Callithrix jacchus: one gene and its partners. The protein of the gene in region 3 interacts with the protein of the main gene of each other region in a pairwise test. Links are inferred from orthologs where the notes say so. Each region holds a gene or a part of one and is shown on either strand. Other genes may lie near its edges.

Region 1 (10,598 bases), on a different chromosome or scaffold from region 3:
GCTAGTCAGGAGGCTGAGGCAGGAGAATCGCTTGAACCCGGGAGGTGGAGGTCACAATGAGCCAAGATTTCCCCATTGCACTCCAGCAAGTGCAGAGCAAGACTCCATCTCAAAAACAAAAAAGAGAGAGAGAGAGAGATAGAAAGAAAGAAGAAAGAAGGAAAGAAAGAAAAGAAAAGGAAAAGAAAATTTGTCTATCCATATGTCACACTTTGCAGTGAGACTCTCACAGCACCTAGAACGACAGTCAGGGGTCTCACAGTTTCCTGTCCATGCCCTGGAGCTGGATCCTGTGTGATGAGGGGGCACCTGTCCCTTTGGAGGGGCGAAGAGGGGAGGCAGTGCAGCTGCAGGTGGGCTGCCCTGGCCTTCTCAAGATCGACAGAGAGACATCTGAGCCATGTCGAATGGGGCCTGCTGCAAAGCTGGAGACCGCTTAATTATCAAAGGGTAGAGGGTCATGGCAGCAGCAGTTCCTGGGCCTGCAGAAGCTTCCAGAACCTGCGAAGTTAGAATACATGCACAGCTTAAGCCCCTCCCCACTCCAGCGGTGACCACTGGTTAACGTGTAGCATGCAGCACGCAGCACTCGGTGCTAAGCTGATGGAGTCACGCTCCTGCTGACAATCCTCCATTGCAGGTGTCCTGCAGCCCTTATGACCACAGCCTAACTCCCCACCGGCCGTAAGACCTGCCTGGCCAGGGCCCTACCCAGCTCTGCCCTTCTTGTGCCATCTCCACACTGTTTCCCATTGAACATGGCCCCTCTCTCCTGCCACAGGCTTCTGCACATGCTGCTGCCACCCGCCTGGAGCTGTCAGGCCAGGACCAGCTACCAGGGAAATCCTGTCATTGACCCTAGACTCCTGAGACTTCCGGAGTCTGCCATGTCAGTCAGCAGACAGCTTCTGCCCCAGGCAGCTGGATCCCAGGAGTACCCAAGACCAGGTGCTGATGGACTGGGACTCGGGAGAGTTCTCACTCCCTGCTGGGGACCTTGGCCACGTGCTGCCTTTCCTGGCCCTTCATTCCTCATCTGTAAGATGGCGTAGGCACAGCCACCTTATGAGACTCTTGTGGGTTCTGTGCCCTAGTGTGACACTCCTTCATTACCTTGGACCCATAGGGGTTTGCTGTCAGTACCAGGAGGGCAACCAAGGACATACCCAGGTTGGCTCTCACCAACGAGGTCCAGCCTCGGGTCACCAAGCAGCTCCCTGCTCGCTGACAATGAGCCCTCCCTTTCTCGGCCCACAGCCTCTGCCCTGGTGGACTTCCACCACCTGACCTGCAGGCGTGCTTCCAGGAGCTCAGAGGCCACTGCCCTGGTGGATGCCATCCTGGAAGCACACATCCCTTTGACAGAGGGATTTGCACACCAGCAGAGGGCAAGTCAGCAGCAACCTTTGCAGGCCCTGGATCGCAAACAGACTGCAGCCTAGACCCCAGGCCCATGGGGGAAGCTTCACCCTGGCAGGATCAGGGAAAGCACTTGGGTCCCTAAACACAGATGACTGTCATCACCTGCTCCTAGCACTCAGGGTCTAAGTGCTGCCTGCTACTGAGTGGCCAAGCCCTACCACTCCAGGTTGCCTTCTCCAGCAACCCCTTCCCCTCTGAATTCCCAGCTTCCCAATCGTTTTCCTGAGACCGTGGGAGAGGCTGGGCTTCTCTGGCTGACTGGCAGGTCAGCACTTGCAGGAGTGAGAGGCTTAGCAGGGCAGCCATGGGCTTTACAGACCTGCCTTCTGTCCTGTGCCCTGCCACTGGCCTGGGGGACCCAGTGCAGATGGGGCCACTCTGTGCCTCAGGTTCCTTCTCGTAATGTGGGCACAATAAGAATTACCCTCAGAACGTCTTCAAGACCAGAAAATGTCAAAAGGGACCTGAGACAGCATTGTCACCACATAAATGGAAGCTATGAACTGAGATCCCTGTGCACCAGACAGGTGCTCCCTGTAGTCACTAGGCTCCAGAGAGGAAACTCAGGGCATGCTCAGAGACATTTTCAAGAGCACTGATTTGTCCTCCAAGTATAGATTTCTACTCAGTCCCTGCACCAGTGGCGTTTCTGTTCTGTCGTGTGGCCCTCATTTCAACAGCACTGAAGAAGGTAAAGAGAGGCTTCCTGAGCTGGGGATGGGGGTGGGGTGTGCCCTTTGTGACAGTTGCTCCCATGCTGGGTGTGTGACAAGGTCTTCGTGGCCAACAGAAAATTGTTTCACCTCTCTCATGTGAGCCTGGTTTCCCAAAAGAAACCTACCAGCCCCGGGAGGCATTAGATAGGGGCTGTTTCTGGCCAGGATGCTCCCAAGAGTCCTGAACTCGCTTCTACCCCAGGACGTCTGCGGGAGACTGGCTGAGAGCATTTGATTGAAAATGCTTATTTCTGGGACACATGGATGAAAACTAAGTTTTTTCTTCCTAAAACCTTGGGAGCCCCAAGAACCCAGGAATGTCGTCTTTTCTGTGTCCGCTGAGTGTTCATGGCCACTCTTCAGAGCCCCACTCAGCCTTTGTCCTTGTTCATGACAAGATACACCAGGTCTTTCAACACCTGGTTGACCTGGATGTTGCATCTGGGAAAAGAAGCCAACACAGTTGTGTGGACCCTGGTTCTTGAGAGCCTGGGATGTGGTTATGCCACATAATGTCCTTGAGGCCAGAGGTCCTCATGAGGATGTAGCCCCTGAGCTCTGCATGGGCAGCCGAGGGTCAGCTTCCCTCACCAAGCACAACAGGGTGACAAGCTTTGATGTGGCTGCTGGCACATCCCACGAGATATCCAGGATATTAACTGTATGGATCACACTGTAAACTCTGAAACACAACATGAATCTGTGCTATTGGTGGCTAGCATGTGCAAGAAAAGCTGAGCCTGCCATGTGCCAGCGGGAAGGATACGTGGGAGGGTCTGGAGGGTGGGGCAAAGTTCACCATAGTTGCCTGGCTAATCAACAAGGGTGAGTTTAAGGGAAGTCTGTGCAAGGGCCAGTTCCTGCCTGGTCTGCAGTTCCCCAGCCTAATGAGATTTGCGTTTCCTTTCCGGAGTGGGTCCTCCTGGGACCACAAATAGCACAGTGGCAGGCGCAGCTGGCAGTGGGGCTGGCATAGCACACATTTCGTTCCCGAGGAGGGGCGCCCTGATGTGCCGGCACCCAGGGGCTTTGTGCATTCCGCGCAGAGAGCTCGGGCGTCACAGCGCGAACAAAGCGGCTTTGCAGGGCGCTCTCCTACTCCTCGCCATTGGCCGCCGGGCCGCGACCTCTCCCTGCGCTGGCAGAGTCCCAGCGCCTTGCGTGGGCACAAAGTCAGCCCCTCATCACCCCCCCGGGCACGGAGTAGGGGGCGCGCATGGCTCTCGGGCCACTGGAGATGGGTGGGAATGTGGGATCGGAGCTAGCGGCTCCTCCCCGAGCCCGTCCGCGTTGCCCTTCACCCTCCTCGTTCCCCCGCCCGCCACACCACCCTGGCACCTCCTGCCACCTGTTTCCTCGTCCTCCCAGCTCGCCTTCCCCTTCCCCTTATTTTGCATCCTAGGGTTCCAGGGACAAGGTCCTTCCCGGCCTGCCTACCACCCCACGCACTTTGGAGGCTCAAGGGCACCCGGTCCCGGATCTAGACCCGCTCATTGCACCGAACGGCGGAGCCCAGCTCCCGGAGGAGGCAGGAGGGACTCGCCAGCGTGGCACGGGCGCTCAGCGGGAACCTCCACCCTCCCTGCGGCCGCGCGTCCCCTCCTCGAATTCAGCCCCATCGGGTGCGCGGGGCTGCAGGGGCGCCCACGCTCAGCGGCGTCCCGGCGGTGACCTTGGAGGGCTCCTCCACCTATTCGGCCTCAGTTTCCCCTGGTTGCAGCGGACGCGAGGCACTAGGTGGGAGCAGCGGAGAGTTCCCGGGGCCCCGCCCCCTCGAGCAGCCAATCGGGCGCCGCCGTCCGGGGGGTGTGTCCCGGGGCCGGAGCCCGGGCGCCCCGAGGGCGCGCGGGGCGGGCGGGGCTTCCGGGTCGGGCCCGGGGACAGGAGCCCGCGCGGACCGGGGCGGGCCGAGGGGCGGTGCGTGTGGCGGGGGCGCGGCTGGCACGGACGCGCGGAGGCGGCGCCGGGCATGGGCCGTGGACGCGGCGGCCCCGCGGCAGGGGCAGCGGGCGGCGGGGGCGGAGGCGGCCGCTAGCGCCCTGCCCGGCGCCGCCTCCTTCGGCGCTCGTCCCACGGACTGGCAGGCGGCGGACCGCGATCCAGGTGCCCGCGGGCGGAAGGGCGCGCGCGGGGGTCCGCCGGCAGGGCTTCCCCAGTCCCGGGACCCAGACGGCGGCGGACGGGGGAGGGGCAGGGGCTGGGCGGCGCATGCGCGGGGCCCGGGGTCTCGAGGTCTCGGGGGCCCGGGGATCCAGGGTCAGGGTGCGCGGCCGGAGACGTGAGGGCGAGGGGCGAGGACACACGCCGAGGACTCGTGCAAGGGGTCCCGGGGCCCTGCTCGTCCTCCCTCCTACCGCCGGGGCCCTGCCTGGAACCGTAGACTCCACGGCTCTCCATGGGGCTTGGCGCTGCGCGGAGGTCGGGTCTGGCGACCGCAGCGACTCTAAGTCTTCGGCTTGTCCCTTGGGAGGGAGGCTCTCGGGCGGGACATCGGGGCTTGCCCATCCCTCCGCGCCGTGGCTTCCCAAGACCCCCAGGGATCCCTGAGGCAGGGAAACCCGGGCCCGGACTGACCGACCCTGGGTGGGTGCGCCCGGCGGCTGCCGCCGGACCAAGACGCGCGTGTTAGCTCCTCCGGCTGTGACCGCCTTAGAGGAACGCTTCCCGCTTGGTGCCCCAACGCGGCGGGGTGACCCCCGGCAGCCCGAACGGGCTGCTCTCGGCCGGGTGGCTTCTCTGCGGAAGCCGCGCCATGTCGCTCCCGGTGGGGGCCGCTGCGGGTCTGGCGCGGGCATTCCCAGGTCTTTCCGGAGTCCTGGGCTGCGCGGCCCGCGTGGTGCGAGTGAAGCCGGAGGGGCGCTGGGTGGTGCCGGTGGGAGTCAGGAAGGTCCGCTCTGCCCCGTCTCCCACCCCAACTACCAGGGCACACCTGCGTGCCTGCGCGTTTCTGAAGCCTGCTTTAAAAGTTAAACGAGAGGAAGTGTGCTCCCAGTGCCAGGATTCTTTCCAAGAAAAACCCACAGTTGTCTAACCGGCGGGCTTCATGCGACCCTCCGGGACTGCGTGCCCACCTCAGCCCCAGCTGCCCCACCGACTCCCCCCCCCCCCCCCCCCGCCCAGGAAACCAGGGAGGCCTCTCCTCTCCCAGCCCGCTTGGGATAAGGGTGCCCTGGAGAACCGGGTCAGGGCAAGGGCACGGGTTTTCCTGAGAAGGACCGTGAGACACCTGTGTGGTTGTGGGGCAGGGGCAGGGTGACTTTCCTTTTCCAAGGTGGTGGAGAGTTGGGGGCATCCAGAGAACATAGCGTAATCACTTCCTCCTCCATCTTCTTCCTCCAGGCTGAAGCTCCGGGCCCAGCCTGCTCTGTGGACACACAGTTTGCGGCAAGACAAGCTCAGAACTGAAGTTGTCACCACAGGTAAATAGAAAGCTTGATTTACTGTTTCCAGATGGAAGTATTTAAGTGTGCTGTGTTTATTTCTGTTGTGCCGCAGACCAGCAATGTGGAGGTTAATTATTATTACTTCGGGATGCAACCTTAGATACGTTTTCAGACTGAAAGTAGCATACATGGGCATGGATTCCCTTTTTTTTTTTTTTTTTTTTTCCCGAGATGGAGTCTCCCTCTGTCGCCCAGGCTGGACTGCAGTGGCACAATCTTGGCTCACTGTAACCTCTGCCACCCGGATTCAAGTGATTCTCCTGCCTCAGCCTCCTGAGTAGCTGGGATTACAGGTGCCTGCCAACCTACCTGGCTAATTTTTGTAGTTTTAGTAGAGATGTGGTTTCACCATGTTGGCCAGGCTGATCTTGAATTCCTAACCTGGTGATGTACCTGCCTGGGCCTTCCAAAGTGCTGGGATTACAGGCATGAGCCACCCCGCCCGGCCTAAGATTCACTTTTAAGTTCTGAGGTACGGTGTCAGTTTTGCCAGGAACTTCATTGCTTCATGGCAGCCATGTTTTAAATTCATGTTATCAATTTAAAACTTGATAACATTAACTTTGAGAAATGTGAGTGCTTAGCAGACACTTGGGACATCCACACCAACTGGAACAGAGCTGTTTTCATTGTGATTTGATTATTAAGCAGGTGGCTTGTTGGGCAAGGCCCATGACAGAACATGCCAGGGATGGGCTGAAGATACAGGCCAGACGATAGGATGTGTGTGGTCACCATCCGTGAGAGGCCAGGGACAGAGGGGCTGAAGGTGACCTGTGCAACTCTGAAGCAAAGGTAAATTCACTGGCAAGCAAGGCACGGTCTCTCACTCCTGTAATCCCAGCACTTTGGGAGGCTGAGGTGGGAAGACCACTTGAGGCCGGGAGTTTGAGACCAGCCTGGCCAACATGGTGAAACCCCATCTCTACAAAAAAAATATAAAAATTAGCCAGATGTGGTGCCAGACACCTGTAATCCCTGCTTGAGCCTGGGAGGTGAAGCCGAGATTCTGACACTGCACTCCAGCCTGCATGACAGGGCAAGACTCCGTCTCACAAAAATAAAATAAAATAAATTAATTAATTAATTGACAGTAGAAAAAATGTTTTCTTTTACCTCTTTCTTTCTTTTTTTTTTTTTTTTGAGATGGAGTTTCACTCTTGTCAGCCAGGTTGGAGTGCAGTGGCGTGATCTTGGCTCACCGCAACCTCTGCCCTTCTGCTGCCTCAGCCTCTTGAGTAGCTGGGATTACAGGCATCCACCACCACACCCAACTAATTTTTGTATTTTTAGACGCGGGGTTTTGCCATATCGGCTAGGCTGGTCTCTAACTCTTGACTTCAGGTGAATCACCCACCTCAGCCTCCCAAAGTGCTGAGATAGGCTGGGCGCAGTGGCTCACACCTGTAATTCCAGCACTTTGGGAGGCTGGGGAGGCCAGATCATGAGGTCAAGAGATTGAGACAATCCTGGCCAATACGGTGAAACCCTGTCTCTACTAAAAATATGAAAATTAGCTGAGCGTGGTGGCGTGCACCTGTAGTTGCAGTTACTCAGGAGGCTGAGCCAGGGGAATCACTTGAACCTGGGAGGCGGAGGTTGCAATGAGCCAAGACTGGGCCACTGCACTCCAGCCTGGCAACAGAGCAAGACTCTGTCTCAAAAAAAAAAAAAGTGTTGGGAGTAAGCCCCGGCTCCAGGCCCATTTCTGGCATCTTAGACGTAAAATGAGAGACATGCCATAGGTATCAAACACTGTGGTTTTCCCTAGCTCCTGTTTGTCCAACTTATGAACAGAGTTTTTTTTTTTGTTTGAGATGGAGTTTGAGCTCTTGTTACCCAGGCTGGAGTGCAATGGCGTGATCTCGGCTCACCGCAACCTCCGCCTCCTGGGTTCAGGCAATTCTCCTGCCTCAGCCTCCTTAGTAGCTGGGATTACAGGCACGCGCCACCATGCCCAGCTAATTTTTGTATTTTTAGTAGAGACGGGGTTTCACCATGTTGACCAGGATGGTCTCGATCTCTTGACCTTGTGATCCACCCACCTCAGCCTCCCAAAGTGCTGGGATTACAGGCGTGAGCCACCGCGCCTGGCTCATGAACAGAGTTTTAAAAGTTATGTGTGTGAGAGAGAGAATGAGAGAGAGAAGAGAAAACATATGTCTTCTTTGTAAACTATTTTGTGACTTGCTTTATTAACTATTTAGGTTATGAAAAATCTTTCTATGTGAAAAATATTTATGACTCATTTGAAATGTCTATATCATATGTTTAGATGCAATCATATGTAGCCAATCTCTTCATATATGTATATATTTATTTAACGCAGTCATTCTATAAATATTTACTGAGTAGCTGCTGTGAGCTACTGTCCCCAGTGCTGAACAAGACAAGCTGGATCCAGGAAACTGATTTTCATACTAGCATATAAAAAAAGAAACTTAAAGACAGTCCTCATCGTGGTAAAGGATGAAGAATCTGTTTTTCCCAGAACATCTTACTCTTTAGAAATTGGTGACCAGTGTTCTTTTTCTTTCGTGCTATTTTGGAGTCTGTGTTTTTGTGATAACTATTTAAGAAGGCTGGGCACAGTGTGGCTCATGCCTGTGATTCCAGCGCTTTGCGAGGCTGAAGGGGATGGATTGCTTCAGCCCAAGACTTCAAGACCAGCCTGGGCAACCTGGTGAAACCCCATCACTACCAAAAATACAAAAAATTAGCCAGATATAGTAGCATATGCCTGTGGTCCCAGCTACTTGGGAGGCTGAGGTAGGAGGATTCCTTGAGCCTGGGAAGTGGAGGTTACAGTGGTTGAGATGGCGCCACTGTACTCTGGCCTGGGCAACACAGTGAGAAGAAAAAACTAAATAAATGTTTATGTAGTCATCTTGAAGCAGTCTTAAATTGTATTTATTTATTTACTTTTGAGACAGGGTCTTGCTGTGTCACCTAGGCTGGAGTGCAGGGGCATGATCGTGGCTTTCTGCGGCCTTGACCTGCTGGGCTCAGGTGATCAGCCCACCTCAGCCTCCCAAGCAGCTGGGACCACAGGCACATGCCACCATGCCTGGCTAATTTTTGTACTTTTTTCAGAGATTGGGTCTTGCTGTGTTGTTCAGGCTTGTCTCAAACTCCTGGGCCCAAGGTATCCTCCCACCTTGGCCTCTCATAGTGCCGGGACTATAGGCCTGGACCACTACACCTGGCCTAAGTGGTCTTCAAAAAAAAAATACACACACATTAATTAAAGTATTTATTTCCTTATTATAAATATATTTGAAACATGCCAATTTTTCTTCTCTTTTTTTGCTCTCTCAGTTTCTGTGTATGAATGTGTGTGTGTGTATGTATATATATATATATATCTTTCTTATTTTTGAGACAGAGTCTCTCTCTGTCATCCAGGTTGGGTTGCAATGATGCAATCTCAGCTCACTGCAACCTCTGCCTCCCAGGTTTAAGCAATTCTCCTGCCTCAGCCTCCTGCGTAGCTAGGATTGCAGGCACGTGCCACCATGCCCAGCTAATTTTTATATTTTTAGTAGAAATGGTATTTCACCATGTTGGTCAGGCTGGTTTCGAACTCCTGACCTCGTGATCTGCCCTCCTCGGCCTCCCAAAGTGCTGGGATTACAGGCATGAGCCACCGTGCCCAGCCAGATATAGTTTTAATGGCAAATAGGATGAGTGTCTTAACTTCCAAGTCGCCAGTGTTTTTGTTGAATGTTTGCACTAATTTTGTCACACTGCAGCTAGAGGCTGTGGCCTGTCTAATTTCTGCTTTTTTGGAACTTGAGGGTCTTTGTTTTTATTTGTTTTTGGTAGCTTGGCATAGAGTACATTTTTCTTTTTCTTTTCTTTTCTTTTCTTTTTTTTTGAGACAGAGTTTCACTCTTATTGCCCAGGCTAGAGTGCAGTGGCACTAACTCAGCTCACTGTAATCTCCACCTCCCAGGTTCAAGCGATTCTTCTGCCTCAGCCTCCCGAGTAGCTGGGACTACAGGTGCCCACCACCACTCCCAGCTCATTTTTGTATTTTTAGTAGAAACAGAGTTTCACCATGTTGGCCAGGCTGGTCTCAAACTCCTGACCTCAGGTGATCCACCTGCCTCAGCCTCCCAAATGCTGGGATTACAGGTGTGAACCACCACACCCAGCTGTAGATACTTTTTGAAAAGCTATAGTGTCTGATTACAGGGTAGAAATGTGCTATATCTGTTATTTCAGCCTTATGAGTTGCATAGAATAAGCCAGATCACCTTTAAGGCTGTGTGGTTAGGGACACTTAGGCACAGAATTTACATTTACAACTTGGTGATAAGATGGTTATAAGGTAAGAACTAAATAAGAAAACCCTTAGCTGTTCCAGTGGCCCACATTTAAAATAACATGTTTCTTTTTCCACTTGCATGCACTGAGCTTCTACGGAAAGGAGCACCGTGCAGGCACGTTTTCCAGACGTGACCGGATTTGCTCGTTACTCGGAGGCGTGTGCATTCTTTGCTTTTAGAATATTTAATTAGCACATTTTAATAGTGATATTATGGTGTCTTGAAAGTTTATGCACTTGCAAAGTAAAGAACTAGCCAGGGGCGGTGGCTTACGCCTGTATTCCCATCACTTTGGGAGGCCAAGTTGGGCTGATCACAAGGTCAGGAGTTCTAGACCAGTCTGACCAACATGGTGAAACCCCATCTCTACTAAAACTAAAATAAAATAAAAATTAGTTGGCGTGGTGCCAGGTTCCTGTAATCCCAGCTCCTTGAGAGGCTGAGGCAGGAGAATCACTTGAACTTGGGAGACGAAGCTTGCAGTGAGCCGAGACCACACCATCGCACTCCAGCCTGGCCAACAGAGTGAGACTCCGTCTCAAAAAAGAACAGAAAAGAGAAGTACTTACTCTTTGCTGGGTCTCACCCGATTATAGTTATCTTTGCAGCTAAGCTGCATTTTTTTGAGGCTCACATATGGTAAACGTGGTGGGAAATTTGGAAATTTTGCTTTGCATCAGCAAAGC
Region 2 (10,598 bases), on a different chromosome or scaffold from region 3:
GGAGGCCGAGGCGGGAGGATCACAAGGTCAAGAGATCGAGACCATCCTGGCCAACATGATGAAACCCCATCTCTACTAAAAATACAAAAATTAGCTGGGTGTGGTGGTGCATGCCTGTAGTCCCAGCTACTTGGGAGGCTGAGGCAGGAGAATTGCTTGAACCTGGGAGGTGGAGGTTGCAGTGAGCCGAGATTGCACCACTGCACCCCAGCCTGGTGACAGAGCAAGACTCCGTCGCCAAAAAAAAAAAAAAGGAAAATACAGGAATAAGGCCAGGCGCGGTGGCTCATGACTGTAATCCCAGCACTCTGGGAGGCCAAGGTGGGTGGATCACCTGAGGTCAGGAGTTCAAGACCAGCCTGACCAACATGGTGAAACCTGGTCTTTATATTAAAAAAAAGAAAAGAAGAAAAAAAAGAAAATACAGGAATATATGTAAATATAATATCATAATATATTATATATAATATGATATTTAATATCAATATCATAATATATAGTATTATACCTGATATTACATTATATACACACAGACACAAATGTATGTATGTATATATGTGTATTTCTGTATGATACACGCTTTCATAGATATGTGTGTGTAGGTGCGTATGTGTGTGTATGTATAATATAATATCAGGTATGATAAGTCCCATGAAGAAAAATAAAATATGATAAGGGACTAGAGAATAAAGTGGCAGCTATTTTAGTTAGGGTGGACAATGGACAAAGAAGACTTCTCTAAGGAGGTGGCATTTGAGCGAGGATGAGGACAGCTTGGGAGAGCAGATTCCATGCTCCTTCTCTGAAGTAGACAATTCTCTAAGGTTAGCAGCGAGGCCACTGTGGATAGATCCGGCAAACGGAAAGTGACAGGAGGTGAGTTTGGAGAGGAAGGCAGGGGCCAGGTCATCACACAGGGCTTTGTAACCCATGGCGAGACTCTACCATGGTACTGTCACGCCTGCTGCCCCGGGTGTGAATATTTCTTAACATGCATCAGCACTCAGCAGCTTGCTTCCTACCGATGTCGTCAGTAAATGATGGTTCTCTTTGTCTCTGTACTCACCCCTGTGTTTTGCTTCTAGACCCTTAAGAAAAGGTATGCATTTATGTTTCTGCTGACAGAGGGTCACCACAGTGAGTTACCAAGAACTGGGAAATTCTCTTAGAAAACTGAACACTAATCAGATACTTTAGGTTTAGGGAAATAGATGTTTGTGGGAAACACAAAGGAACTTTTAGTAAACTCCAGGAGAGACACAGGAAAATCCAAATGAGAGACAGAAGGGTCAGCAAGTTTCTTCTGAAATGGAGGGGGCTCTTTGTCATTTGCTCGGGAGGCACCTGCCAGCGGTCATGACAAGACTCTCCTTCAGAGGCTCCTTCAGCCAGTAACCAGTTTTAAGCAATATCTGATGCCCATCCATGAATCTCTGAACTATGGTATAATGGCTGTTTCTACATATTCTAGAGTCATTCTGAGACACCCATAAACTGATCACCACAGCCAGAAAAAAAGCCCAAGTCAGAGATTCCTGTTTTCCTAGATTAAGTCATCAACTGGGCCACCTGAGATCTCACTCATACTTCCCATCAACCAGGAAGCCAACTTCACATGTACATAGAATAAGAAGGTGACTGTGCACCTATTTGTACACATGTTGTGTAGCACATGTAGCGTCAGTTCACCAGTAAGTATCTGTTGAACGCGTGCTCTGTGGTGGGCACCGTTCAATGCTGGAACACAGCAAGGCACAAAATAGACGCAGCCATGCATTGACAATAGTGAGGAAGACAAATATAGGTACAGAATACAGGTGTGGGGCTGCTATTATGGAAAAAATAACACATCACAAATAAAGCTTTTGGAAGCCCAGAATGAAGTCGCCTCTCCAGCGCAGGACTTCCGCTTTGTGTCGTGATTCAATCTTATTTGAGTAATTTTAGCGGAATATCTATTTTATGCTGGGCTCTGTGTACACATGTTGCCACAAGGTTTCTAGATAACTTGACAAAGCAGGACAAATAAACTGGAAATTAACATCACTGCACTCCAGTGCAAGGTAGAGGTTTGCACAGATGCTATGGATACACAGACACTTCATCCAGTGTGGAGGTTGGGAGGCCTCCCTGGAGGCACAGTGTGTTGGGATTGTATCTTGAAAGCTTAGTAGGAGTCCGCCAGGAAGAAAGGAGCAAGAAGGTTGCTCCACAAGGGAAAACAATTGCACAGGCATGAGCAGCACAAAGAGAGACTCTGTGTTTCTCAGGCCTGTGCAATTGTTCCTGTGATATTTTTAGAATATAATCACCTTAGAGGAGGTGGTGAAGTGGGAGAATAAACAGTGAGAGGTCTCAAAAGTAGAGGAAGAGTTTCAAGAACAAAGTCAACAGTAAGTGGCCGAGTGAGTCAAGGCCCCACATGTCCATGGAGTCTGACAGCTCGAATATGACTGCTGTGCTGGGGGAATGCTGGGCACCAGCACTGATGGTGGGGGAGAAGTGGGCATCAAGCGGTGGATTAAGGCTGAGTGGAAGACACACGTGAAGGCAGAGGTGAGCAACTCCTCCAAGAACTTTTACTTGGGGGGAAAACCAAAACAGCAGGGATGTGAACGGCTTTTCCTTGTTTGTTTTGGTTTGCAAAATGATACACAGGCTTAAACATTTTTAAATGCTGAGAGAAAAGAGTCAGTGGTGAGAGAAGAGAGAGCAAAACCATTTTGTAAGGATTTCCCACCCGAAAGGAGTCATGCACATCCAGAAACCTGAGTGAGGAATTCATCTTGGTGTGGCAGGAGGAAAGAAGGGGAAGAGGGCACAGAATTTCACTCTTGTTGCCCAAGCTGGAGTACAGTGGCACATCTTGGCACACAGCAACCTCTGCCCCCCAAGTTAAAGTGATTCTCCTGCCTCAGCCTCCCAATAACTGGGATTATATGTGCCCTCTATCATGCCTGGCTAATTTTTTGTATTTTAAGTAGAGACAGCGTTTTATTATGTCGGCCAGGCTGGTCTCGAACTCCTGACCTCAAGTGATCCGCCTGCCTCGACTTCCCAAAGTGCTGGGATTGCAGGCATGAGCCACCACGCCCAGCCAAACTGTACCCTCATTTGATGGTGAAATTCTTACCAGGCAGGACAGGATCACACACTCCTGGAAAACAAGTATAATCTCTCACTTGCTACACAGGTTATTAGGTCACCCTTACGACCTGTTTTGATTGCCAAAGGTGAAAGTGAGAATAAGAGAATGCTTTCTGAGACCTAGAGTCACAAATTCCAGTTTTCATTTTCTTCCTCCATCACTTCCGTTGCAATTTAGACTCAGGATCTTAGAAATGGACGAGACCTCAGAAACTGCCTTGTCTGGTGTGACTTCACGGAGGACCAGCGTGGCAGGCGGCTTTCCTAACATCACACCAGCAGTAGAGGTAGAACTAGACGGGCTCTCCAACTCTTCTTTCCATCACACTTGGCCACACCCTCAAGTACTGATGTACCAGAAGTACCGCCTACCCCTCATCCTCTTCCTCAACCTAAAAATGCCTTCAATTTAAAGTCAAGACTCATGAAACGAGGAGTCCTAAGTCTCCGTGTATTTGGGCATCAGCAACTGTTCTGGCTTCTCACAAGCACAAAGGGTCATGCAGGGGCCAGAAAGCGAAGCCCCTGCTGTGGGACCTGAGTGGAAGCCTCTTTCTCACTAGGTGATGGGCAGCGCCGCCCCTCGCCACGTCTCTGGCCACACTTCCTGCAGTAAGTTCTTCCCCACACAGCATCACTGCGCTATTTGGTGGCCCAGAAGTGACTGGTGCTGGGGGTTTCCAGGCTTAGTCCCAGACACCTCTTGTCACCCTCATGGTGTGACAACACAGACTCCCCAGACTGTTTCTCTCCACTTATCCTGGCCACACCCTAGGCAGATACAGCGAGAAGTTCATTTTAGGGTGTGGAAAAGCAGGCAGTGGGGCTTGGCAGCCTTGAGGCAGCCTTGTCGCCAAACCTAGTTCATGGCAAAACACGGAAACAGATTTTGTCTGGGCCTCACTCTTTCCAGGCATGTCCCCCGCTCTTGCAGGACCATGTCCCACCCCGGGCCCCTTTCCCTGCCTCCTCCTTAACCACAGCATCCGGCTCATTGTTGCCCCACAAGTCACTTGTATTACTAGCTCAGGTTCATGAACACGGCTGCTGTTAATAGCTCGTTTGCGAATAATTTACTGTTTCAGATATAAACTCTGGGAACTCAAGGTGATTCCTTATAATAATACCACTCTGACTCACTCACATTCCGATACACTTCCTTGCGAGAGAGACAGAGTGGCGGTGCTAAGCTGCATGCCAGGAATGGCACACAGGTCATACCCATGAGCAGGCAGCCGATGTGTATATCATTCCCGACGAGTGTTACTGGGAAGAAAAGACTGAGAACTTCCTTCCAGAAAACAAGAAGTCAGACCTTTCATTCTGGAATTGCGTGGAATCCAATCATCAGCTAAAAGAATTTCAACCAAACAAAACAGGTATCATCTCCTTTCAGAGGCTAATAATTTAGAGAGATGGAAAGTTAAATCCAGTGATAGATACACATGAGAAAATAGGCTTTCCACCGTCATATCCCTTCCTTTTTAGACTAATTCTTCCATGAATCAAGTGCTTGGGCCACACGGAATATTTGCAACCCCCAAACGTAGCAGAAGCTACAACAGCAGCAGCACTGTATAGAGCTGAGATTATTGAGTCTTTCCTGTGAATAGGGCCTTTTATACACAGGCTCATTCGTGCCTACCCATAATTCTTTAAGGTGGATGCTATGATTATCCCCATTTTATAGATGAGGAAACCAAAGTTCAGAACGTTTAAGTAATTCTCCCAGGTTCCCAGAGTTAGTCAGTTACAGAACACAGGTAGCATCCTTCCAAAACCTGTATTTGTAACCACTGCACTGTCCTGCCTCTAAAAGAGAAAGGTGACCGGGAATGAAACACACCTTGACTGTTTGAATGGGGCTCCCTTAGTCCTGAAGACCTTTCCTATACTTCTCCACTTATGAAAACCCTACACTTCGTCCAAGGCTTTGCCTCCACTCTTCTTTCTGTCAGACACCTTTCCCATCAGACCTAATGCATCTCTTCTCCTCTAGCAATCTGTTGAAATCTCTACTGCATCCCTTACGGTCCGCCGTGCAATATATCAAGGGGCAGGAGCTGGATTCAACGCGGTGAGCACTGTTTAGGATTTCTGCTATTGGAAATGCAGGGGGAGCAGAGGGTAGAAAGAGCACTCGAAGTTACTCGAACACTATGCTAAAGATTTTGGAATTTTTTCTTACAAAAAATACAGGACCCATGGAAAAAAATACCAGCTGGTGTCTCTACCATTTAGAGTCCTCAAAGGGAGGAATAATGGGATATCACTTTGTTTATTATAGTTTTACCATCCCAGGTTTTCCTTATTTATCTCTCTTAATGATTCTGCCTAAGAAATACACTTTCTTATCACTATGATAAGGATCTTTGCTTTGTGTACTTGTAAAGGCATGAAAACTGCAGACTAGCTCCTACTTCCTAGTCAATTTAACTATTTTGGTTTTAACATTAACATCCTGCCTTATAGCTTCATCCGTAAAGGAAAAGGCTTAAACCGGATAATATTTAAGACACCTTCAAGTTCTAACATTTTTTGACAGCCTATGACCATCTAGAAGAAATTAAATTCTTAACTAATATGTACTAAAAATATGGTAATATTTTAAAACCTAGTAGTTTCACAGTTTTTAAAAAGCTTTGTTTTCATTTCATTTGCTCTTTTTCCAAGACCCCGTGAAGTTCCTATTATTATTCCCATTTTACAAAGAAGAAGGTCAAGGCTCAGGCAGATGAAGTGACTCGTGACCACACGAGTGGCAGTGGCAGAGCTGGAGCTCCCCCCATCCCCCAGATTCCAACTCTCCGTTCTATATTCTATACCAAGCATGTCTCTAGGAACTGAACCCTCAAAGAGAAGACTGAAATATGTGAAGTCCCCAAACATTGTTATGGGTGACAGTCTGTCTTCTGAGGAGCATTTTATGTGTATTTAGAAACAGCTTGAGATCCTTTCTGGATCAAGGTTTGGTTGGGAGCAGCGTGAATGGGGAGGGGTGCATGGGAGAGACCGGGTCTGTCCTTACCTTATTCAGCAGGCAATCTTCTAAGTCTCCCACGGTAAGGGATTTCATGGCTTCTTGGTCAATCCTGAGTAGTACAGCAACTTCCTGGTTTTCTTTTTTTCCTCAATGGAGTACAACACTCATGAGTAGATAGCACTCCCAGTAATGTGAGTCTTGGTACTGAATTTTTCCAGAAATGTGTAATGGACCAGAGACTTTCCCTCCAAACCGTTCACTCAAGTTTTTATTTCCAAATTGTGAAAATCCATCTGTCATCGTTTGGGAAATTAAAAAAAAAAAAGAATTTAAAAAGAAGGGTTGATAAAATTGAATTTAAGTCCAACCTAATTATACCTTATTTAGCTATATTGACTGGTTCTTTGACCAGAGAGCAATTTTCCAAATTGTATTTCCCACCCAAGTACTTAAAAGTTCCATCCAAGTTAGAAATACCCTGCATGTAGTTGGCTTCTCCCACCTTTTATGCTCCTGTCCCGACACTAGATGCACCTGGAACTCAGTATCTTATATCTCCTCGTCCTTATCTTGTTGACAGTAAATACCGCTTGCTCTCCAATCCAGAAAATCCCCCAGATTGATTTACTTTCTTTACAATCAACAAATAAACGGCTGAACAACCAGCCTGGGACCCATCATTATGCCCACAAAGAAGTGATCAGGTCTTGTCAACCACAGCAGAGCACAACGGTTGGCATTTGGAAAAGCATGCACACACGTACACACAGGCACACACGTACACACAGGCACACACGTACACACAGGCACACACGTACACACAGGCACACACAGGCAGAGGGCACACAGGCGCGCACACACACACACAGGAATGGCCGGTCAGGAATCCTTCTGCTCACCTGCTGACCTTTAAAGGTAACTTCCCTCTTCCAACTTGAAAGCTGGCAGTAAAAATAAAGTCAGTATAAACAGGTCCCTTGAGAGGCGAGGGAACACTCACGTCTGGTTTTGCCAGCAAAACTTACGTTGGAAAACAGCTCAGGCAGTAAATTCCCAGTTGGGCTGGCTGGGGCTAGTTTTACTACAGAAGAAAAAAGAATTTCCCAATGGTCTGATCTCCTTGAAGCTGGTAAACATCACGGGAGTCTGCTATCAGATGATCTAAAGAAATGACAGCCCTCCTGGGAGCATTGCTGACTTTTGAGCAATGTTGCAAAGGCAGGTGCTTCCGAGCCCACCTGGAAGTGCTGCCTGCAAAGCCACGCCACTGTCTGGGCCCCGGAATTTGCATATCTTCCCATACTCTGCCCCAAGCAAAAGCCAAATCACAGTTCTCTAGCTGCTCTGTGCCCCACCCACGGTATGAGTCCCAGCTCTCAGTACAGCTTCTACAGAATCTCCTGCCATTGCAGAGCCTGATACAAAACTGTAAACTACATCCTCCAATGAGGGGTGCTCTGATAGCACCCCTCAAAACAGCCTTGATTTTCCATTTGCTTCTATATGTAATTCTAAATCTCCTTCTTTTTATATCAAGTACTTCCAAGTTTTTCAAAATCTTATTCCTTGGGCTTCTCTTATTATAGTAGCCCCAAACTCCTTTTTAAAGAGTGAGCAAGATCCTCTTTCTCTGAACGTGCGATTTAGTATTCTCTCTCTACCTCATCTTCAACATCGCCAAAGTCCCACTCTTTCTCCCATGTGCTCATTTTTGTCGTGACTTCTGTTTTCACCGTAATCATTAACTTGTGAGTCACTTTCCTATGGTGGGGTACTCCCTAATGTCCAGGGGTTACCGCAGACATCTGTCATCATTTTTGCCCCTGTGGCTGCCCTATCTCGATCGCTCTAGAACTTCAGCTGATCAAAATGTTATAACTGGAATCTTCTCTTGCCAGTGACAATTGCCAGATGTGAGCAACCAGCAGGGCAAGTGAGCGGCTGGGAAATGAAGACACAATCATGTGCTCAGGGAAGCTACCAGAGTCTGATTTTACCAGGGTGCCGTATCCAGGGAATAGCTGTGTTGTGGGAGCAAAGCCTAGTTCCCTACTCAGTGATACAGCTCCTCATGGGCAAATGCTCTGAAGTACAGGGCAGTCCCACAAATACAGACTCTCTGACAGCTCCTGTCTGACAGATTGATGAAGACAAGCTTTCTTTTTAGATGTAGCTCTCTGGGTAACTGAGTAAAGGATCCGCAACAAGGGATTGAATCACAGTAAGCCTAAGGCGCCTGTAGGCCAGGCCACTGAGGAGATTCAAAGTTAGCTCAGGTTCTCTTCCTTCCGTGGAAAATAAATATCCTCATTTCTCATGACTCACACCAAATGCAAGTATGGAAAAGTAAACCTGTTCGGCTCAGTTTCTATGGTGAAGAGTAAGAACTTATTTTTAAAAGTCGGGTTAACAAGGTATTCAAAACCCTATGCTGTCAGTGTGAGAAGTCTCAGGGAGATCATGCCAGCCCTGGATTACCAGCACAAGTGTTTGTTACTGATTTACTTAGTGTCTGAGATTTTAATTTCAAGAAGGAAGAAGGTTAGCTTGATCCAAATCAACCTGAAATATGCAAATTTGTTAAAGTTTGCCAGGGTTACAAACTCTGACTTTTTAAAAGATTTCCGGTATGACTCAGATTAAATCTGACAATGCAGAAGACCAGACAGAGATAATCACCTGTGATGGGATGCAGTCCACAGCAGTGAACAACTCGAGGCAGGGGCCTTGTCTATTCCATGTCTCCAGAGAAGCTTCAGCACCTAACACACAACTGGCCCTCATTAAGTGTTAATGCTTATCTGCTTATGTTAAACATTATGCAAAATAACATTATTTATTAGAACGTCACTAGTGTGACATTTATTAGAATGCCATGAATGTGATATTATAATAAATAAAATATAGTATTTTAAGATGTATAAAATCACCTGACAAATTATACGTTTAATTATATGCACGCATCTGTGACTCCTATCTTCTTTTACAGAAAGGCTTGATTAAAAAAAAAACTTAGCGTAGTACTTGGCACATGATAAGACCTCAAAAAATATTTGTCTTTATACTCCATTTCACTCCCTGAGGAAAAAGATCCTTTTTTGTAGGGATGTTTAGTTTTTTTTTTTTTTTTTTTTTGAGACAGAGTCTCACTCCGTCGCCAGGTGCCAGACTGGCGCGATCTCGGCTCACTGCAACCTCCACCTCCTGGGTTCAGGCAATTCCCCTGCCTCAGCCTCCTGAGTAGCTGGGATTACAGGCATGCGCCACCGTGCCCAGCTAATTTTTTGTATTTTTAGTAGAGATGGGATTTCACCATGTTGGACAGGATGGTTTCGATCTCTTGACCTTGTGATCCACCCGCCTCAACCTCCCAAAGTGCTGGGATTATAGGCATGAGCCACCGCGCCCGGCCTTGTTTTGTTTTTTAATTGTTATTTCCATAGTTTTTGGCATACAAGTGGTTTCTGATTGCATGGATGAATTATGTGGTGGTAAAGTCTGAGATTTTGGTGCACTCATCACCCAAGTAGTGTACAGTGCACGCAATATGTAGTTTTTTATTCCTTAGTTCCCTCCCGCCTCCCCCTTCTGAGTATCCAAAATCCATTATGCCACGTTGTATGTCTTGGGATACCCATAGCTTAGCTCCCACTTATAAATAAGGAGATAAGGGGTTTTTCTGTTCCTAACTTCACTTAACAGTGGCCTCCAGGTCCATCCAAATTGCTGTAAAAGACATAATTTAATTATTTTTGATGGCTGAGTAGTATTCCATGGTGTACATGTACCACATTTTCTTTATCCGTTCATTGGTCCATGGATACTTAGGTTGGTTGCATAGGAAAGATCCTTCTTTTACTGCATGTCAGTAATTCTCCTGGTCTGACCTGGTGGGTAGGATTGTTCACTGGGTTGGTCTTCACAGTTCCACCAAAAAGTGGGTCTTCTTTCCTTTCACACATGACATGGTAATCGAGATAGTTTGAACTTGATCTTTGGTCTGGGTTCAAAGGTAGGAAGTCCCAAATGAAAATGATAGGTCAGGTGGGTAATAAATCAGAATAGAGTGGAACAATGGAAAGGGGTGGGGTCTGTGGTGGATGCGAGAGTATATATCTTACCTGGGATATTCTAACTTGTTGGGGTGATTTGTTTATCTTTTTTCTTTCTTTTTCTTTTGAGAGGGAGTCTCGCTCTGTTGCCCAGGCTGGAGTGCAGTGGTACAATCTCGGCTCACTGCAACCTCCACCTCCTGGGTTCAAGCAATTCTCCTGTCTCAGCCTCCTGAGTAGCTGGGATTACAGGCATGTGCCACCATGCCTGGCTCATTTTTATATTTTTAGTAGAGACGTGGTTTCACCATGCTGGTCAGGCTGGCCTTGAACTCCTGCCCTTGTGATCTGCCTCCCAAAGTGCTGGGATTACAGGTGTTAGCCATCGTGTATGGCCTGTTTATCAACACTGTACT
Region 3 (10,069 bases):
TCTGTGGCACAGCTGGGAAGCCAGGACGCCGGAAGGGGCGCCTGGTCCTTGCGCCTTTGCTCACGGGCCCTCTCCTGCCTCCTTGTGCCCTTAGTCTGAGTTCCCGTGACCCCGGCCAGGTCCCATATAACCTCTGTCGCTCGCTTTTTCCAGAGCCGCCGCTGTTCTTCCGGCCTTGGGCCTCCTCCGCGCTCACGGATCGGCAACGTTACATTATGGCCTCTGCTCCGCCTCTCCACCACTCCTTGACCCTTCACCTTCTAGTCCCTGTCTTTGTGGACTTATTTCTTTCTAAGCCCCCTTCCATCTTTGGTTCCTGTTTCTGGCTCGTGGCCCTTGGGGCCGATCTGGAACACAGGACTCCTTGGGTTCTCTTCTCGCTCGCCACACTTTCTCACCACGAGGACTGGCCCAGCGGGGTGGGGGACTACAGGAGTCATTAGCCGTAGATTAGGGATCCCTCTGGGACAGGACTCTGGGCGCTAAACCGCACCAGGATCCCAATCCGCTCGCTGGCTGCACAGCGGGTCAAAAGGCAGCGGGACTCTGGATCGAACGGGTTGCTGGGGCCGTGGGCACGGGCGCCCCCTGGAGGAAGAGAGGCCCCCAAGCTCGGGGAAGAGGCCTTGGGCACCCCCTGTCGGGCAGTGGGGACCCTGCACTCCGGCGTTCGGGCCGCTAAGTTGGTGCCCCGAATGTCCGTCCGTCCACGCCCAGCCCGTCACTCCGCCACTCCCGCCGCCAAGACAGTGGGTCCCGCAGCCTCCACTCTTCTGGTGTGAGATGGGACCGGAGGGCTGAGAGGGGACGCGGAAGCTCCTGCCTCGCCAGCCACAGTCGGCACTCAGGGTTCAGGCAGGTTTATGCCTGGGGGCCGGGGAGGCGGGCGCTTCATCTCTGCTTCTGGGCTGGAGATTCGAGATTGCCCGCTGATCCGGCCTGTCCTAGACCCTGGCTGCCCTTCTTTCTGCCTCTTCGGGCGGTCTGTCTGCCTGCTCCCTCTCTGGGTATGTTCGTCGCTCTCTTCCTTAGCATTCTGGCTGTGTCTGCTCTCCCTCTTGCTGCTTTCCCTACCTGGCTTTGTCCCTTTGCATCGGTTTCTCTGTGTCTCTCTGTGTCTCGCTTCCTCCCTCCACATCTCTCCATCTCACTGTGTCTCTCTTTACTAATGACTCGCTGTCTCTGTCTCTCCCCTACCCCATTCCCCAGCTATATTCCTATTCTCTGGGTTGCTGCCTCTGGGGACTGCACCAGTCCAACGAGGCAGCCCGGGGACACCTCAGGGCACTGCCCGGGGTTCTCCTCCTGGTCACCTCCACCTGCCGTCACCTCCGAGTGGCGTTGGCCTTCCCGTTGCTGCTGTGGGATGTGGAGGGGCGCCCGGGAGAAAAGACACAGAGCCCAGCATCTGCTTGGGAGCCCTGGGGCCCCTGACCCCCTCTGCCGTTATTAAGGGCGCCGGGTTCCGAGGCTCCGAGATGATCATGATTGCATCAGCCAGACAGAAGCGGAGCCGGTGAGCAAGCGAGCAAGACAAAGACAGCCCGCCATCTGTTTATGCAAAGCGCTCTCCTCCGGGAACCCCAGAATCCCGGCGCCTGGCCCGGCTTGAGGCACAGGGTCATAAGCCCATTCCCACCCGGCGCCCCCACCGCGTCTTGGCTTTCCCTCTCCTCAGCACCCAGAGGGGCTGAGGGGCGAGCGGAACGGGGAGGGGGCGGGGGTGTTGATGTGATTGGAGCGGACGCGGCTGTTTCTTCAATAATGGATGGAGATGATGCGGACGGCGAAGCCGAGCCGACCCGGAGAGAAGAGAGGAATAGGAATGGGGAAAGGAAGGAGTGGGGGGCGGAAGACTCATCCCAGCGTGCGCGTGCACCCACACGCGCGCACACGTGCGTCACACTGTCATTCGGATACACGCCGCCGCGCGGCTCACACCCAGGCACACGCCCACGCACTGTCACCGAGACACATATACCTGCAGGCGGAGACGCGAGAGCAACACAGACTCCCCGCTGGCTCTTCCTGATTTTCACACATAGAAACCTGTAGGCGGAGATGCACGGAAACGCCCCCGCGTGGAGGCACCGGGCAAAATTGCCCAGATGGGAGCCGGGGAGCGGGAAGTGGACAAACCTGACAGACATAGACTCAGGGGAACAGACACACACCCGGCACAGATTTGGACACACCTGGGGCTCACGTAGACACACCACACACACCCAGAAACAAGTGGACACACACAGACCACACTCTGGGGATACAGGTGCCCATAATTGCCAGCGGCACGGAGAGACCACCCACACCCACTCAGGCTGGCACACCTTAGCATATGCAAGAGTTACCATCTGTGCTCTGCGGGGTGAAATGTGGCAGGGAGGTCTTCAGGGTCTCCGAAGCAGGCCTTGTTAGCCTAGCAGTATAATGAGGTCTTGGTGACAGGAGGCGCCTGGGGCTGTGACTAGGAAGCCCATGCGTCCAGGCTTAGCTGCCTGCAAGCTTCCTTGACTGGCCCCTAAAGGCGGGTGGTGCTGATGTTGGGCCGGCCCTGAGCAGCAGACCCGATGAACCCCAATGACCCCAATCGGGCAGTTTGTGGAAGCGGGGGGGCAAAAAGCGAATGTTGGAGCTGCACCAGGAGATTCTTAGGATCCCCAACACGCCTGCTGGTGGGGGTTATAGAGAGGGTCACTCTGTATCCTGCCTTCTCCCCACCCTACCCTCGTGCTGCCCCCGTATTCCGACTTCAAGGAGCGCTGTGTGCGTGTGTGTGTGTGCGCGCGTTTTGAGTGGAGTGGGCAGTGAAGGAGGTTGGGGTGCGGGTTGTGTCTTGCACCCCAGTACTGGCCTTCCTCAGATCTATTTTCAATTCAGTCTGCTCCTTGGCCCAGACTTATGACCTTTGCAGAGTGCGGCAGTATCATCCATCACCCAGGCGCCGCTTAAGGGGATGGAGGGCGTTGGGCGCTCACACAGGGTCACTGTCACTCCCACAGCCCTTTCTGGGGACCTGCTTTCCTGCCCACCCACGGGCCAAGGCTAACAGTCAGGATTAGTACTGAGAGGGGAGGGTGTGACCATGGACCACTTGTCCCCACCCCTGGCACCCCAGCATCCCTCCTTCGAGCTCAGCACAGCTTGTTTCCCCGCTCCTCCCGCCCCCCTTCTCTCGGGCCCTTTGCTTAATTTCCTATTAACTGCTGATAAATCCAATTAAACCGCCGCTCTAATTAGGGACAGCTGCCGGCTCAGTGAGGCTAGGGAGGGGGCCGCCCCCCAGTGTAGGGGGAGAACAGCCGCTCTCCCTGCTTCTCGGCATCCGCACACCAGCATTGCCGCCCAATGAGCCAGTAAATTGGTTTTACTTTAGCATGGGTGGGGGGAGCTCTGGTTTTGAGAACCTCAGACCTTGATGAATAGAGACGACCCGAACCCTCTCGGACCCTCCCCTCATACATTCATGGTAGGTGGATTTCAAGGAAGGATGAGTGCAGAAGGCTTGATTTGTGTGTGGCTGGTGTGCGTGTGTGTGCCTGTGATCTACTGTTCCAGCTCAATTGCGATTAAAGGGGGGTCTTCTTTAATGACACCACCTCCACCCCTCAGGCATCCGGGACCGTCAAGGGCAAAGGGAGCAGAAAACTGAACCTGGTTCTGCAGAGTCTTCTAGTGTGCTTCCCTACCCCCATCACACCTCAGCCTTCTAGAAGGGGGGGCGCACCGGTCCCAGGCCCTCCTCTTCTCCAGCCCAGCTGAGCCTCTGCCCTCCCCCCACCAGCAGCAGATGGTGCCCGGGCTCCCGCTGCCAACCTTGCTAGGCGGTGCCAACCTCAGTCCTGGCAGACAACGGGGAGACGAGAAGAGGAGTTCCTGGCTGGCCAAGCCGACCCTCCCCCACCCTCCATCGAGCTCAAGAACCTCCCGCCCCGCCCTCCTTCCCCCCCCCCCCCCCCCGCCTGTCCCACTCCAGTGATCACCCCAGCCTGCCTCTCACTGGGTCCGCTCCCAGGTCCCCAAACTCCTCTTCTCCTTCTGCTCCCTTCCCCACACCTTCCTGCTCCTTGCCACCTGCCGCCCTGACCAGGGCCGGCATATTTGCATATTTGCATATGCAAATAATAACATTTGCATACGGCGCTCCGCAGGGGTGTCTTCGTGAGAGCCAGGAAGCTGTCTGCCCTGCGTCCTCACTCAGTACCTGTCGGAAAGGGTTAGGGCAGGGGCCGCACGGGAAGGGTTAGGCCCCTGGCCTCGCTAGCTCGGTTCCCCGAGGACTTGAGGAAGTGTTACCATGGAGACAGCACGCACCCCACCCCCTCCCAGGCCCAGGGTCTCGGGCTTGGTGTCTCCAGTTCTCTCCCCTTACCCACCCTCCACCCCTCCCCATCCCTCGCTCTCCAACCGAGATCTTGTATCGCCCCCTGGCGGCCTAGCTCGGGCTCCAAGCCAGATTCCGAAATGCAAGGGGTTGCCCGTGGCGAAAACGCCAAGAACAAGGGGGACTTACCCTACTACAAGATCCTGCTCCCAGCCTCTGGGGCGCGGGGGTCCCGCGCTCCCCTTTCTTCACTGACAACAGAGGCCTCGCCTGGCAGCTGCATCTGTCTTCCCACCTCCCGTCAACCTCAGCCCAGATGGATCTCGGGTTAGGGATGATCCAGAGGGGTATTCTCCACCCCTCTGCAGGCCTTCTCAACCCCAGTTAAAGAACAACTTTTCTACGTTTTGTCAAAACTTTAATAAATTTGCAACATTCGACAGTTCACGCACCCCCGCCCCTGCCCTCCTCCTCCCCAAGTCCCTCGCTCCTCCTGGTGGATATGCGTTGTCTTCCAGCTCTTGCAAGCGGGGCCCGAAAGGTTTCAGGTGCGGGCTGCTCTGGGCAGCAGGTGTCCGAGGCCCCAGGCTGGGGAAGGGGGCGAGAACCAGTCCCTTCCCAGAAGCCCTGTCATGCTCAGGCAGGCCTTCCTATCTACCCAGCAGTCCTGTTGCTTTCGCCCCCTCCCCAAATTCCACTGGGCCCGCCCAGAATGGGTGTGGGTGTCTCCCGCCTGCGGGCGCCCGCAAGCCTAAATCTCCTCCAGAAAGTCGGTAGGAAACAGCCCCACCTTGCGGCCGGTGTAGACCTTGACATAGCCGCCAGCCTCGTCTCCTTTCTGTACCACTATCTAGAGGATTAAAGGATCAGAAGTAGGAGAAGAATCAAAGGAAACGGTAGGAAAGGACAGCAGGGGAGCCCGGGGTTACAGGGGCTTACCCTAGTCTCATTAATGGTTAAGCTCTCCAAGTAGTGTGGTGGGCTAGGGGGCATTCAGGCCTTGGATTAGCCTGGGGCATTAACCTGGGGCAACAGCCTACCTGGTCCTTCTTAAGAGTGATCTGCCCTATCTCTCGGTTCCCCACGAAGGATCTCGTCACGCGGTGCACACGTTCTCCAGCCCGAACCCGAATGATGAAGTTTGGAGGGAAAAATCCGACCTTCTCCCCGATTTTCCCCTAGCGAAGATAGTCGGGAGAGTCCTCTCTCAATCTTGGGTTCTGGACTCAACCCACACTCCACCCTAGCCCTAGCCATTTCTCTCACCCGCCACCATTCTTCATTGGAGTCATCAATGACTGTGATCTTCTCTCCCGGCCTGGGAGGGGAAGGGAAGGGCCTCACTCACATAGCAGGTCCCCTCCTGTACCCTGGATCAAGTCTCCAAGCCCTGAGTCACCCTCTCCCTTTTCCTTGGGGGAATCCAGCTCTTTCCCTTTCACTCCACAGTACCAGCCCCCTGCCCCAAGGCCTCTCACGGGAAATCCAGATCGTCCTTTTCCAGGGCTTTGAATCGATAGAGAGCCACAAAGTAATGAGACTGCTGGAAGCCAGGATGCTTGTGCTGGGGGTGAAAGGGAATGATGAGTCTTGGGCTCCTCTACCCCACACTGAGGGGCAGGATTCCAAGGCAGGGGCATTCACCACACACTCTGCACTCCAACTCTCTTCTAGTTCCCTGAACTGAGAGGAGTTTTTTGGTTGTTGGTGGGTGTGCAAGGTGATAGAGCGAGTGGGTCAAGGGTGATGGGAAGTCTAGGAGTTAAAGAGTGAGCTTCTGCTGGACCATGAGTGGTGGTGTCAGACCTGGGTTGAGGAGAGGACAGGGTCCTTGTAGGGAGGAAGGATTCTCACTTTGTCATCAGGTGTCTTCTTTTCAGCCTTCTTATCCCCTTCAGGGTTTCCTGGGATAGGAAACACCAACAAATTGTCTGTCTCCTGGAGGGCAGTTCTTACTCTTTTACCCTTCTGTGGAAGGGCCTCATCTATCCAAAGCTGGCCTGCCCTTTGCTCCTCCACCCTCTGTTCGACAGCTGAGCCTCTGATCCTACTCCATCTCTGGATGGAGGTGGGTGACACTCACCATCCTGGGGTTTGCCTTCCTCTGGTCTGGCAGACTCTGGCTCCTCCTCCATCATGGCTGCTAGAGGCTGGAGGGGGCACCAGAGTTAGGGAGACACTGTCTTGGGAATCCATGCACTAGCGCTCTCTAATCAGGTCAGATAACTATAGAATAATGGGATCTCAGGGTTGGAAGAGGCCTTGGAGGAAATAGCTAGTCTAGCCACCTGCCTTCCTCTAAAACATCCTGGCAGGTGGGTCACCCACATTCTGCTTGAATGTAGCTAAATGACAGGGAATTCACTACCAGACTCCAGGTCCTTGACTATGCTGTCAACCTTTAAAAATACTCCAGTGTGTAAGTAAAGATGAGCAGCATGGCCAGATGCGGTGGCTCACGCCTGTAACCCCAGCACTTTGGGAGGCCAAGGCAGGGGTGGATCACCTGAGGTTAGGAGTTCAAGAACAGTCTGACCAACATGGAGAAACCTCATTTCTACTAAAAATACAAAATTAGCCGGGCGGTGCATGCCTGTAATCCCAGGTACTCGGGAGGCTGAGGCAGGAGATTTGCTTGAACCCAGGAGGGGGAGGTTGCAGTGAGTTGGATCCATACCATTGCACTCCAGCCTGGGCAACAAGAGCAAGACTCCATCTTCAAAAAAATAATAGCACAATTTTTATAATAATTCCCTTAGAATATAACCCAGGGGCGGGGCGTGGTGGCTCACACCTGTAATCCCAGCTCTTTGGGAGGCGGAGGTGGGTGGATCACGAGGTCAGGAGATCAAGACCATCTGGCTAATATGGTGAAACCCCGTCTCTACTAAAAATACAAAAAATTATCTGGGTGTGATAGCATGCACCTGTAATCCCAGCTACTCAGGAGGTTGAGGCAGGAGAACCCAGGAGGCAGAGGTTGTAGTGAGCTGAGAAAACAATCTATGGCTGGAGTTCTTAACCAGAGGCACACGGGGAGCGGCAGCAGGTCCCTAAACCCTCTAAAATTGAATGCTAAAATTGCATTGTGCCACGGCACTCCAGCCTGGGCGAGAGAGCGAGACTCTGTCACAAAAAAATATATATATATATATATATATATAACCCAAGAATATGTTAGCCCTTCTGGAGGCAGCCAAATCACACTGCTAGTGCCTTATAAGTCATAATTCACTCCATAGAAATTCCTTATCCTGTGCCTAACCTCCATATCAACAACTCTGAGCCTAGATTTCTAGTTCTGTTTTTTGCAGTTTTTTTGATAAAGAACAAATATGTACATTTTTCTCTTCTTTCTTTCTTCCTTTTTTTTTTTTTTTTTTGGAGACAGGGTCTCGCTTTGTCTCCAAGGCTGGATCTCAGCTCACTGCAACCTCCGCCTCCCAGGTTCAAGTGAATCTCCTGCCTCAGCCTTCAAATAGCTGGGATTACAGGCAAGTGCCACCAAGCCCAGCTAAGTTTTTTTGTATTTTTAGTAAGATGGGGTTTCTTTTCTTTTCTTTTTTTTTGAGACAGAGTCTTACTCTTGCGCCAGGCTGGAGTGCAGTGGCGCAATCTCGGTTCACTGCAACCTCCACCTGGGTTCAAGTGATTCTTCCGCCTCAGCCTCCCGAGTAGCTGGGACCACAGGCGCGTGCCACCACGCCCAGCTAATTTTTGTATTTTTAGTAGAGACGGGGTTTCACCATGGCCAGGATGGTCTCAATCTCTTGACCTCGTGATGCGCCCGCCTTGGCCTCCCAAAGTGCTGGGATCACAGGTGTGAGCCACTGCGCCCGGCCAAGATGGGGTTTCATGATTAACCTCAGATAATCCGCCCACCTCGGCCTCCCAAAGTGCTGGGATTACAGGCGTGAGCCACCGCACCCAGGATGAATATACAATTTGTATCTTGATTATATCTAAATCATGTTATAAGGCATCAGAAATCTCCCTCTAGCTGTATACTCCTGAAAGAACCTGGACTCTGGGTAATGCCACTCAATTTTAGGAGTCCATCTAGCTGTAACCGTCATCCATACCAGTCCACCCTGGTTGTCCAGAAAGATAGAAGAATATTCTAACAAATTCCTTGCTGAACTGAACGCAAGTCTATGGCATTACCAACCTAGTAACCCTATTGCATAAGGAAATGAGGCTTCTCTTGGCCAGTAGATTTGTGCCTCAGTTTTATCATCTGTAAAATGAATGGGTCAAACCAGATGATGATCTTCATGTACCCTTGCATGGCTCTAGAATTCTCCAGTTACTTGGTATGAAAAGTTCTCTTCCCTACATCCAAAAGCACAGCTCTTGCCTCCATTACCCAGCAATACCAAGGACCTTGGGCCTAGCCCTCAGATGGTTGTGGTGGCTAATCTGACAATTTCAGAAGGGAGCTGAGAAAATATAATCTATGGCTGGAGTTCTTAACCAGAGGCCTGGAGTGAGCTGCAGCAGGTCCTGAAACCCTCTAAAATGCATGCTAAAGTGTGTCTGTTGGGTTATATGCTATTATTATTATTTTTTTTTTTTGAGACAGAGTCTTGCTCTGTTGACCAGGCTAGGGTGGTGGCATGATCTTGGCTCACTGCAACCTCCATCTCCTGGGCTCAAGCAATTCTCCTGCCTCAGCCTCCCAAGTAGCGGGGATTACAGGCGGGTGACACCATGCCTAATTTTTGTATTTTTAGTAGAGACAAGGTTTCACCATGTTGGCCAGACTGGTTTCAAACTCCTGACCTCAGGTAATCTGCCCGCCTCGGCTTCCCAAAGTGCTGGGATTACAGGCGTGAGCCACTGCACCTGGCTTTTTGTTTTGAGATAGAGTCTCACTCTGTTACCCAGGCTGGAGTGCAGTGACATGATCTCAGCTCACTGCAACCTCCGCCTCCCAGGTTCATGTGATTCTCCTGCCTCAGCCTCCCGAGTAGCTGGGATTACAGGCACACACCACCATGTTTGGCTACACTTTTGTATTTTTAATAGAGACAGGGTTTCATCACATTGGCCAGGATGATCTCAATCTCCTGACCTTGTGATCTGCCTGCCTTGGCCTCCCAAAGTGCTGGGATTATAGGCATGAGCCACTGTGCCCGGCCGGGTTATGTGCAATTTTAGGGGAAGATGATCCATTGCTTCTGTCAGGTTTCCAAATGGAAAAATGACCTGCTCTGTGGATTCTCTGGGAGGGACCTCAATGGGGAGGTACAGTGCTCACATTTTTCTTATCTGCCTGTCCTTTCTTCCGTTCCTTGTTTGCCATGATCACCCCAGTGCGCAGGGTTTCAAACACAGGGTCATTGCGACTGGCAGCAGCTAATGGAATGGGAGGAGAAAGAAGACATTATTGGGGAGACAGAGAAAGATCTCTTAAGGAAGGGGTGGGATTGAGCAGATGTGTGTGGGAGTGGGGGTGCCACAGGGGAAGATTAGGGAAGGGTCTGCTGGGCAATACCTAGGTCACCAATCTATAAAGGGCTCTAAAAACATCACTGATAATGTGAGGGAGAAAAGTATTTATCAGAACTCCTTCCAGGCAGAGCATTATGTGACGTTGGAAAGAGAACTTTGGTTGCTTGGGGTTGAGACATGCTCAGAATCACTATTCTCCTTCTAAGCAGAATGGCCTCTTAACTGCTGACTTTTGCACTGCTGAATGGCATGTCTAAGCTGAGGAGCTACCACCAACAGGTTCTTCTTTTTCAC

The links. The genes of interacting proteins can lie anywhere in the genome.
Region 1: the proteins of STAC3 (region 3) and PPARA interact in a two-hybrid assay, tested with the Homo sapiens proteins (2 studies listed by BioGRID). The two-hybrid records come from large-scale screens. The link is inferred for Callithrix jacchus from reciprocal best matches to the Homo sapiens genes STAC3 and PPARA.
Region 2: the proteins of STAC3 (region 3) and MAB21L3 interact in binary tests that used the Homo sapiens proteins (3 or more experiments, as listed by UniProt). The two-hybrid records come from large-scale screens. The link is inferred for Callithrix jacchus from reciprocal best matches to the Homo sapiens genes STAC3 and MAB21L3.

The regions. Positions count from the first base shown.
Region 1 is NC_133502.1:213,847,351-213,857,948, reverse strand, and holds the start of PPARA (peroxisome proliferator-activated receptor alpha), read left to right. Parts: upstream 1-4,114; 5' UTR 4,115-4,241; intron 4,242-5,477; 5' UTR 5,478-5,557; intron 5,558-10,598. UniProt on the Homo sapiens protein: Ligand-activated transcription factor. Key regulator of lipid metabolism. Activated by the endogenous ligand 1-palmitoyl-2-oleoyl-sn-glycerol-3-phosphocholine (16:0/18:1-GPC). Activated by oleylethanolamide, a naturally occurring lipid that regulates satiety.
Region 2 is NC_133508.1:154,115,553-154,126,150, reverse strand, and holds the start of MAB21L3 (protein mab-21-like 3), read right to left. Parts: upstream 6,254-10,598; 5' UTR 6,224-6,253; coding exon 6,176-6,223; intron 1-6,175.
Region 3 is NC_133510.1:62,457,892-62,467,960, reverse strand, and holds the end of STAC3 (SH3 and cysteine-rich domain-containing protein 3), read right to left. Parts: intron 9,680-10,069; coding exon 9,582-9,679; intron 6,472-9,581; coding exon 6,405-6,471; intron 6,226-6,404; coding exon 6,176-6,225; intron 5,886-6,175; coding exon 5,800-5,885; intron 5,640-5,799; coding exon 5,588-5,639; intron 5,500-5,587; coding exon 5,362-5,499; intron 5,172-5,361; coding exon 5,073-5,171; 3' UTR 4,718-5,072; downstream 1-4,717. UniProt on the Homo sapiens protein: Required for normal excitation-contraction coupling in skeletal muscle and for normal muscle contraction in response to membrane depolarization. Required for normal Ca(2+) release from the sarcplasmic reticulum, which ultimately leads to muscle contraction.